3 linked regions of the Ovis aries genome follow. The protein of the gene in region 1 purifies or fractionates together with the protein of each later gene. This does not show direct contact. Links are inferred from orthologs where the notes say so. Each region holds a gene or a part of one and is shown on either strand. Other genes may lie near its edges.

Region 1 (3,656 bases):
AGTGTTGATATCTATATGCTCAAAGACTGTAAATTCCTTCTTTAATTTTACTGGTAGAAGCCAAGGCCTGTGCAATTCGGCTTTCACCCAATAGCGCACACTGCCATGTCGGCCTTCGAATGAGGTAGCAAGTGGTCTGTGCAGAATATAAAGATCATATATTAATCTTACACCTCTGTTTAATTAATTATACAGTAGGTCAGCATAGAAGTGTTAATATATTATATGTTTATACACCAATGAGGTATCGAAGGTGTAATTTATATTTCCAAAGGGAGAAATCATGGGGGGGGGGGGGAACCTTCCAAATAATAAAATAGATAATTGTCAAATAGTGCAGAAATTTGGTTAAAAAAAGCCAGACGAATACAATTGCTTTAAACTAAGAAGAGGCTACTTTTAATGCTGGTGGCAAAATTATCAAAGTCTGGAAATGAACAGTTTTTGAAAAGGTCAAGACTTTAGTTTAAAAATAAAATTAAGAATGGTTTAACTATTTCTCTTGAGAAATTCTAGACTCTGGTTAAACATTCAGACCAAACTCCCTATGGTGCTCCATTTTTCATTAGCTAAAAATTACTATTTCCTATTATAGCAACTAATTAAGATCCAGAAAAGGTCTGGAATAGTCATTATGGCTTCAAAAGCTTTTTACATTTCATTAAGTCCACTAATCTCTTAAAAAATGCTTTCCATTTCCTAATTTTGGCCATGTTTTCTAACTACATTATAGACTTAAAAAGAAGGAGAATTTCTTCTGTTGACCTGTTATCAAAAGAATCAGAATTCTTCTCAACTCTGATTTTATTATTTGTGGAAGATTTTATTTTAGTGTATTTAGTCTCCTTTTCATAATTTCATCAGAAAAATGCACAAGGTTCATTTATTTACAAGGTAGAGTGCTAGTTTTTTTGAGGAGTAGCGGTGTTTACTTTTTGTTTTACATTTTAGACTTCTGCTTAATTTGTATAGCACAGAGAAATAAAATGCAGGATCTATTCAAGACTTCTACAGTTTATTTTAAATGACTGTGGCTTATTGAAAGAATTAAAATATATATTTATATTAAATTACCTTCATCCTTTGAAAATATTCAGGCCCAACTGTATTAGCCCTATTGTATTTACAAACTTAAAATATTTCTCTTAGAAAGTAATTAGGGTATTATATTAAAAATGTTCTTAAGCAATATGATACTCTGAAAAATACTCCTTATGAACTCTATCCATATATAATAAGTACTAGAATTAAAGAACACAGAATTATGTACATTTGGCACTTGACAAAATCTTCTGTAATGCAAGTTTATCTTTCAGAACAAACATTACAAGTACCACTTTGCATGCTTTAATATCTGTTAAGGCATTATTTTAAAAACTGCTTTTTGTATAATTTCCTCTAATACATAATTATTACATTATGAATATTTTACTTTCCTTCTTCCTTTCATACTATATTCCAGGCCTTACATTAAGATATCTGATTGACATTTCCTTTTAAGTCTAGGTCGCAATATCTCTTGTGTGACATTCTCAATAGCTCCTTGCACAGAAGCTAATGAATTCATATCATAAACACACAGTACTTCTAAAATTAGGATATTCCTAATTATTTTTACCTTCTTAGTGTTGGTTAAGCATCAGTAGAAAGGACAGAACACTTAACTTTTATAAACTACTAAATGACAGACTTGATATGATCTTTTTTCCAGCTAATGCTGATGGTGAACTATTAGGTGCTTACCATTTGACTAGCACCTTCCAATTCATTCACTTTAAATGAAATACTTTTAAACATCATACAAATCCTGAGACAGAGTATTAAGAATTGAGATTTGCTTTCTATAATTTTGCCACTCTAGATTAAAAAATAGCTTTTTTTTAGTATATTGTTTTCCTCTAGCAAGTTTCAGTAATGAAAAGGGTTTTTTTAAACTAAAAATATTTAAATATACAATGTTTCATTTTAAAAGAAAGGATGTTTATTTGAAAAACGCCTGTTAACAAAATACTTACGTCTGTGGAAGCTCGAAGCTGAATGCATATTCATGCCTTCCTGAATGAACAGTGTTGAAGCCTTCTTCCGAATTATCGTCATCTAAAACAGAAAACAAAAAATTTATTAATAAACCTTCACACTCTCTTCACGATGTCAGAACTTAAAAGATGCTCACATAGTTAAATAAGGCCACAAACTTTGGAGTGTGAGAGATCTGAACTCTAATTCCAACTTCATCACTTCTGGGTAAAATAAAACTCCTGTCTTCAGCTGGTTCATCTGTAGAATGGGGATAATTAATATTTATACCCCATAAGTGATTTTTTTAATGGAAAACAACCTAAACTGCAAAGCATCTTCAGCTAACATCCTACAGGCTAAGACTCAGACCTCAAATCTCATACTAAGATGTTACCTTTGTCTTCAACCATTTACTTAAATTTATCCTAATAAGCCTACATATAAAATGAAAACTATTCACGTAAACCTTTAAAAAAATATCAGTTTTGATACGGAAAATATGAATGTGAAAACTCAAACGATTAGAAAACTGCTAAGTAGATGTTGGGAGTTAAAAAAAAAAAAAGGAACAGTGATTTTAATGTCGGTTTCATAGTCAAAAATAAAAATTGTTACTGAACCTAAAATTATGACCTCAGTCTAATAGCTAAAAATTCACATATATATGATGTACCTTAGACTTAAAATGTGCCTGCTTAACGGGAAAAAACAGGTCATACATCCTTGAAAAATGAAGATAAGGATGTTCCCCAGTGCTAGGGAAAAAACAGGATGACCTTTGATTTTACATCCAATTTCTTTTGATGAAATAGGTTATTTTTCAAACTATCTAAAAAAAAAAAAAACCCTCAGGGAAATACGGGAGGGGGTTCTGGATTCTTGACATGCTTTTCTGAAGCGTTCTAACTAGGTAATTTAATTACATAAATGTCTACTAACGCAGCTTCCTCGGTGTAGAAACCTTTATCATTAAATAGGCTGTCAGAAACGGGTATTATCATTTAACTTTCCCTCAAAAAAGTAATAAATACACACACAAAAAATGATGCTTCCCTCAGAGGGGGGAAAAAAAGATGCCTATATGTGGATACCTTTTATTCAATAACCATCACGACTCAGTCTTGTCACCATTATTTTGTTCTTCTCCCCCCACCCCCGTGCAAATTCTCTCTCCTGGATTTCGGCCCTGAAAGCGGCTGATGAGTTGGGGGACATTTAAAACCGCTCCCTCCTGAAGGCGCCCAAAGTTTGCCTCCCTGTCTCTCCTTTTCTTCCCTTCTCGCTCCCTTTTTGTGCCAGCTCAGCAGTCTCATTGAGGCGAGCGGCGGCGGCGGCCGCGCCGTGGTAAACAAGTGCCGGGCTGTCAATCAAGAACTAGACCGGAGCAGGAGAGGACCGGCCTAAACCGGCGCGAGCAGATCCCAGCCGGCCCGCCCGCGCGCCGCCGCCGCCCGCGCGCCCCGCTATACATACGGCATATGTCGCGCGGCGCTCGCACTCGCGCTCGCACAGCCTAGCCTGCTGGCGGCGGGAGGGGGCGGGGCCAGGGCGCCGCAGCGCTTCCGCTTTACACGCCCCAGCCGGTGACCGGTTCGATCTGGCTCGGGCCACCCTGACACCTTTAAATTTGCAGCAAA
Region 2 (3,656 bases), on another chromosome or scaffold:
GCCAGGTATACCCAAGATGATTATAATTTAGAAAGGAAGGAAGATGTAAAACAGCACTGGGAAAAAAAAAGAAAACTGTAAGGTAGATGAGACAAAAATTAATTTCACTTCTAAAACCACTGGGAAGGGGAAAACATTGACAGCTGTCTACAGAAGTTGGCAGGAAAAATTGTTACATGAAAGAAAGTTATCTTAGTCATAACCAGGTGGTGAAGCGAAAGCTGCTGAGCAAGGTGCAAATTTATCTACATTGGTGAGTGGTAACTATTATGATGACAAAGTCCAAGAAACAGAAATACGGAGAAAAGGCAAAAAGGTAATGCCTAATGAGAACAGGAATTTATTTTGATGGATTCTAACAGAGATGATACTGATGGCAGTAGAAGGGAAGAGACGGCAACGGAGAGGGTCAACTTCTCTTGAACTCTTGGTGAGTTGGTTTACATAAATTTAAAAGATTTCCAGAAAGGAGACATTTTGATACCAAAGATAATATGGCTTCAAAGTCATAATAATATATTTAACATAATTCTATAAGCAATCAAACTTTAGTCTTCTCAAGCACTAAATAGTGTATTGTGTAAATTTTACCTTTACATGTTACAAAATGATTCAATTCTATCATGAGTTTCACTTGAGTCAGGTGCTGTTAGACCCAAACAGTCTAATGTTCTGCTAAGCTAGGCAGTATTAAATTCAGAACTGTTTGAATTCTTTTTACACTGCTTGGATTTATTTTTATCATTCTTTTGTAAATAAATTTTAAGTTGTCGGAACTTCTTTTCTGCCAGTAACAAAGCAAAGGAAGTTGAACTTAAGGAAATTTTAAAAAGAAAAGAATAAATCACCTACACAGACTATGGGAAACAAGATGGAAAAATAATAATATCATCAATAGCAACAACTGGGTTGCCATCTTATTTGTACTTTCTTTTTAGTGCTTTACATTTTATATGTAAGAAAAGGTTAAAACTCAACCCTCATTAAGGTTATAAAGCCAAGTACATATGCTCACCCCATAAATGAACCTCTGGTTAAATTGCTGCATAGCTCCCTGAAGTTGACTACGCTGGAGCTGCCATTGTTCATAGTTTCGGACGGATTCCAATGTTGGCCTCTGCCACGTTGTTGTTCTTGTGAAATGGTCAACATAATAAATACGTCCCATGTTGTCAACCCGCCGCTCCCAGCTATATCAAGATAAAAACAACTGAATTCAACAAATATTTGTGAAACTGTTAAGAACTAAGTGGGACTTCATTTTAGCCCTGGTACAGATTTGGCAAGACTTTACCTTACACAGCTACTTTTCAGTTACCTGAAGTCTTTTATAAGTATGTACTTTATTGGGAACGCATGTACACCCATGGGGATTCATGTCAATGTATGGCAAAACCATACAGTATTGTGAAGTAAAATAAAGTAAAAATAAAAGAAAAAAAAAAAAAAAAAGAAAAAAAAAGTATGTACTTTACAGTTTTTAAAAAACTTATTTACTTATTATTTTTTGGTTGCACTAGGTCTTTGTTGCTGTGTAGGTTTTCTCTAGGTGCAGAGTGGGGGCTACTTTCCAGTTGCAATGCGTGGGCTTCTCCTGTTGTGGAGCACGGGCTCTAGGGTGTGCGAGCTCACCAGAGCTCAGGAGTTGTAACATGCAGGCTCAGTAGCTACGGCTTGTAGGGTTCTAGAGCACGGGCTCAGTAGTTGTAGCACATGAGCTTAACTGCTCCAAAGCATGTGGACTCTTCCTGGACCAGGGATCAAACCCATATACCCAGCACTGCAGACTCTTATCCACTGTATCACCAGGGGGGACCTTTTATATATTTTTAAATGGTCTATAAATGAACTTAAAAGGAATGTATATAAAAATCTCTTTCTTAAAAGTTAAGATGTATCAGTCAGGTTTCTAAAACAATGTATCTTAACTGATTAAATTGCAAATCAGTAAGACAAAAGCTCTCATTTTCTTTGTTTGAAATGTTCTTTTCACTGTTGCAATCCTAATAGGAACAGAAATATACGTGAGAGCCAGAGAGTGCAAGTGCTTTTCACGGATGTCAGGAATAGCACTTTTGCTCAAGAAGAAAACTATTTTATTTATCATTTGAAATGGATGCATAACATTCAAGGAAACATTGATAAAGTAACTTGATGTCTACCTGGCTGATAGTTTGGGGTTATGTCTATTAGTTTAATATTATCCAGAATTGGTTCCAGGACACTCCTTGGGTACTCAAGTCCCTCATATAAAATAGCAAGGCTTTGCATATAACCAGGCACATCCTCCCATATACTTTAAATCATTTCTAGGTTACTAACAATACCTAATACAATGTAAATGCTAAACAACTGTCAACATAACATTAATGTTACGTAAACAGTTGCCAGGGCGTGGCAAATTCAGGTTTTGTCTTCTGGGACACCTTAAAATTTTCCCCCAATATTTCGATCTATGCATGCAGGCCAACTGTGGTAAAATAATTAATACCTTTTATGTATTGAAAATTTTTTTCTTCCTTTGCATTACTTCTTTAGGATGCATTTCCTGGAGAGGGTTACTAAGGGTATGGGTATTGCTACAGTTATATATACTTTCTGTGAGAGCTGTAACTACTTTAGACTACCACCAGCAACATTAAGAGGCAAAGCTCCCCTACAATTTCGCCAAAACTGGATATTATATGTTAATTTAACACACAAAACACCTTTTAGGTGTTTATTTAAGATTACTAGCAAGATTAAATATTTTCATGTATTTATGCCTGGCTTCCCTCAAATAAAAATATTTTCTTCCTTCCAATTATTTTATATGTTAAATGATTAACACCATATATCAATATATCCCATTTAATATTAATATTTCTCCAAATATCTTATAATGACTTTGCTATTATGTATTAGCTTTTATAAGAACTTTACCATAAATATGATAGGGTCTATAATTCTTACTCAGTTAAAAAAAAAACTAACCCTGTTGTACAGCAGAAACTAATAACATTGTAAAGGAATTATCCTCCCGTGAAAAAATATTCTATGATAAACCATAATTGAAAAGAATATTAAAAATAACATATATAACATAATCACTGTGCTGTACAAGGGCTTCCCAGGTGGCTTAGTGGTAAAGAATCTGCCTGCAATGAAGGAGATCCAGGTTCGATCCCTGGGTGGGGAAGATCCCCTGGAGGAGGAAATGGCAACCCACTCTAGTATTCTTGCCTGGAAAATCCCGTGGACAGCAGAGCTTGGCAGGCTACAGTCTTTAGGGTCACAAAGGGTCAGACATGACTGAAGTGACTTAGCAGCATGCTGTACAATAAGAATTAACAGCACTGTAAATCAACCATACGTTAATAAAAATAAATAAGGAGGAAAAAACCCTCCTTTTAAAACCCTGCAGTTTGAGCCAGGTAAGTTCACAAAGTAAACTTAGGGAATCTTTCTTTAGGTCAGAAATGAGTGAAAATAAACATATTTCATCATGGTCAATCAATTCCCCAGAATCTCTTTTCAGTCTGCACCCATCATAAAGCAAAGTAGATAGAAACGAGACTGACAGAAGAGGAAAAGGAGGAAGGCAGGGAAATTTTGTATAGGTGTAATCTATGCTATGTGAGTGTTAAGTCGCTTCAGTCATGTCTAACTTTGTGACG
Region 3 (3,114 bases), about 30 Mb from region 1:
CACTGGGCAGTTATTGCAAATAGTTACCTGCAGTTTCCAGTGGGGGAGGCAAGCACACTCCAGTCAAGGGGTTTTGGAGAAACAGGTGCAATGAAGTCATGGTCAAACAATTTATTTACTGTAAACTTTAGACTTTGCTCAGAAAAACAACCAAAGCTGCCCCTCAAGTCCCTGCCTACAACACCCCGTTTGAGCAAATAAGAGGGGCGAGGAGAGTCCATGTTCACAGCGAAAGGTCCGAGAGACTCAATATCTTCCAGTCCAAGGGTGCAGGAAGGAAGGTCTCCTTCAGATACAAATTACCAGCAGCAATATATTACCCCTAATACTTGATCAATGAGGTAGATATGCAGGAAAAGTCATCAAAACATAGCAGCCCCAGGTTCTTTGAGACTGAAGCCCTTCAGACATAAACTTAACGAGTTCCAGGCAAAGAGGAACTGAACTGTACAAGAAACAGTTACTCAAATATATTTTGTCACAACTTAAAAAAATAAAAAATAAAAAGGCAGAAGGATATGTTTCCTCCTGCACATCTCTGTACAACTTTATTCTAAATTTATTACACTCAAGTTAAATAGTCTGTTTAGTGTTTTGTTGCAGGGAACCGGGGAGAAGGGGTGTCTTAAAAAGTAGAAAAACCTGCATTACAGCAGTGAGTCATTTGTACTACAATTCCTCCCTTGTGAATCAGTGCTATCACTGGGCACAGTACCTTGCTGGTTCACAAAGTTTTCGGTGCCTGGGGGGTCTTCACACAGCAGTTCACTGTCTTTCTCCTCCCCCAGGTGATATCCACTCTGTTCCCCCGTGTAGTCAGTCCTGTCATTGCTGGTGCTGGAGCAGCCATTCCCATAGGCCTTCAATGAAGACCTGCGCAGGCAGAGAAGCTCCTGGAAGGCAATCCTGAAATCTGGGCTCCGGCAGTAGATAAGGGGATTGAAAGCGGAGTTGATGTAGCCCAACCAGTTTAGAAGGATGTAAATTTCCTTAGGGATGAGGTTATCCTGGATCACGTGCACAATGTTGACAATGAAGAAGGGCAGCCAGCATAGGGTGAAAGTGCCCATGATAATGCCTAAAGTCTTGAGGGCTTTGTGTTCCTTCAAGTAGAACTTGGATGTCCTGCGTTGTCCTAGACCGCTCCGCCCATCCTGCTCCACTTGACTGACGTTTTGGGCATGGAAGCGGCCCTCAGATTTGTCGATCTTCTGGAGCTGCCTTTTGGCTACCTGGAACACCCTGGAGTAGACAAAGACCATGACCACCAGGGGAAGGTAGAAGGACACAATGGAGGAGGCAATGGCATAGGGTTGGTTCGTGAAGAAGTCACAGCAGGTTTCCTTAGCATAGCACTTGATAGCTTCCTTGTGGCTGGCCCGGTACCAGTGCATCTGAATGGGTAAGAAAGAGGTAAGGCCAGACACGATCCACACCATCAAAATGACCACCCGGGCCTTATTCTTGGTCAGCAGGCACTGATACTTGAAGGGTGACGTGATGGCAAAGTAGCGATCCACAGCGATCACGCACAGGGTCTCAATGCTGGCCGTGACGCACAACACGTCAATGGAAGTCCAAAACTCACACCAGAAGTTGCCAAAAGTCCACATTTTCATGAGGATGTGGCAGGCCCCAAAGGGCACCACTGCCAGGCCCATGACCAGGTCAGCACAGGCCAGGGAGGTGATGAAGTAGTTGGTGACCGTCTGCAGACGCTCAAACTTGGCAATGGCTGTGATGACTAGCACGTTTCCAAACACGATGGCCAGGACAATAAGCGACATGAGGATGCCCATGCCCACCACCCAGGCCTCGTCCCGTTCCAGCGTGCCGTCTTGGTCCGGCGCGTGGCTTGCGTTGGGCGCCAGCAAAAAGACGCTGCGGTTCCCGGGCTGCCCCATGGCGCGCAGGCTGGCAGGTGAGCGCACAGGCTGCCGGCGCACCAGCCGCCCTCAGCGAGCGGACCTCCGGCGGGGCGCTGCGGGCAGCAAGCGAGCACCTGGAAGACTCATTCAGCGGCCGTGGGTGGGTGCGGGTGTGGTAGGGGTGCGTGGTGCACTCAGCTCCGGGGGTACTCTGGACTCGCAGTGCCGGGCAGTTTCAGCCAGTTCCAGCTTGCGCTCTGGAGAAGCCGTCTCTGAGTGCGCGCTGTCCGTTATGTGACCAGGACTTTAGGGGAACTGCCCTCCCCGTGACGTGCTAGAACTTTCAACCAATAGAACGCGGGAAGCCCCAAAGGGGCGAGGCCCACGCCCTCTCCCGCCCCTTCCCTCCCCTCTCCTGCCTGCTCCTGGGGCTGGCCCGGGCGGGACCCAGCTGCTCTAGCAGGGCGGGTCGGCCACCATTCCCTCGGGGCTCCCTCGGCTGGCCCCGGAGGCTGAAGCCGGCTCTAGCGAGCTTACCAGCCAGCTAGAAGGTGCCGGTTCTTTGGTGGGCGCTACCTGTCTGCCTGGGGCGGCTGTGCGGCTTGAGGTCTCAGGGCAGATGGCAATACTCCGGCACTTCCTCGCATTAGATGAGCGTGCCCACCGAGACACGCACAGGCAGGCACATTGTACCCCGACATACATGCTCAGACTTATACGGAACCACAGCCACAGACACTCAGACACACCCATCCAGCGCACCAACGAGTGCTCAGGCACAGAAGCCGACTGGCACAATCACCCCTGTCCAGCACGATCGACATGGCCAGGAGCAAACCAGGAGCACCCAGAAGCATAAAGACACCGACATACAGACAAAAAGAAGTAAACAAACGGCATACAAACGCCCACTTGGAGGCAAGCAGTGTGCCACAGAGAAGGACTTCCCCATCCGGATATTCCAAACTCTTTACCCTTGCCCCCTGGACATCCCCCCCATCTTCCCCAATACACAGGTCTCATGGCATATTCCCTTTCAGACATTTGGCAAGACCACAGGTGGTGACTTTAACAGCAGCCAACTTCCTCAGCATGCTTGCTGTCCAGTACTTTTGGTGCCCTCCTTGGAAATTTGCAGGGATTGAGACCTAATTTTACTCTTGGGATTTCATTTGGAGCTGGGGTATACGTGTATGTGCTTGGGGATAGGAAGAGAAGGTTGTATGCTTTAATTCTTAATTCTAGG

The links.
Region 2: the proteins of ARRDC3 (region 1) and ITCH purify together in Homo sapiens (co-immunoprecipitation; 5 studies listed by BioGRID and IntAct, counting the BioPlex papers as one, with this or other methods). This does not show direct contact. The link is inferred for Ovis aries from reciprocal best matches to the Homo sapiens genes ARRDC3 and ITCH.
Region 3: the proteins of ARRDC3 (region 1) and ADRB2 purify together in Homo sapiens (affinity purification with western blotting; 6 studies listed by BioGRID and IntAct, with this or other methods). This does not show direct contact. The link is inferred for Ovis aries from reciprocal best matches to the Homo sapiens genes ARRDC3 and ADRB2.

What each region holds. Positions count from the first base shown.
Region 1 is NC_056058.1:88,494,361-88,498,016, forward strand, and holds part of ARRDC3 (arrestin domain-containing protein 3), read right to left. Parts: exon of another isoform or gene 3,493-3,656; intron 2,278-3,492; coding exon of another isoform or gene 2,196-2,277; intron 2,098-2,195; coding exon 2,016-2,097; intron 137-2,015; coding exon 1-136. UniProt on the Homo sapiens protein: Adapter protein that plays a role in regulating cell-surface expression of adrenergic receptors and probably also other G protein-coupled receptors.
Region 2 is NC_056066.1:63,837,505-63,841,160, reverse strand, and holds part of ITCH (E3 ubiquitin-protein ligase Itchy homolog), read right to left. Parts: intron 1,191-3,656; coding exon 1,016-1,190; intron 1-1,015. UniProt on the Homo sapiens protein: Acts as an Acts as an E3 ubiquitin-protein ligase which accepts ubiquitin from an E2 ubiquitin-conjugating enzyme in the form of a thioester and then directly transfers the ubiquitin to targeted substrates.
Region 3 is NC_056058.1:58,016,115-58,019,228, reverse strand, and holds ADRB2 (beta-2 adrenergic receptor), read right to left. Parts: upstream 1,905-3,114; coding exon 648-1,904; downstream 1-647. UniProt on the Homo sapiens protein: Beta-adrenergic receptors mediate the catecholamine-induced activation of adenylate cyclase through the action of G proteins. The beta-2-adrenergic receptor binds epinephrine with an approximately 30-fold greater affinity than it does norepinephrine.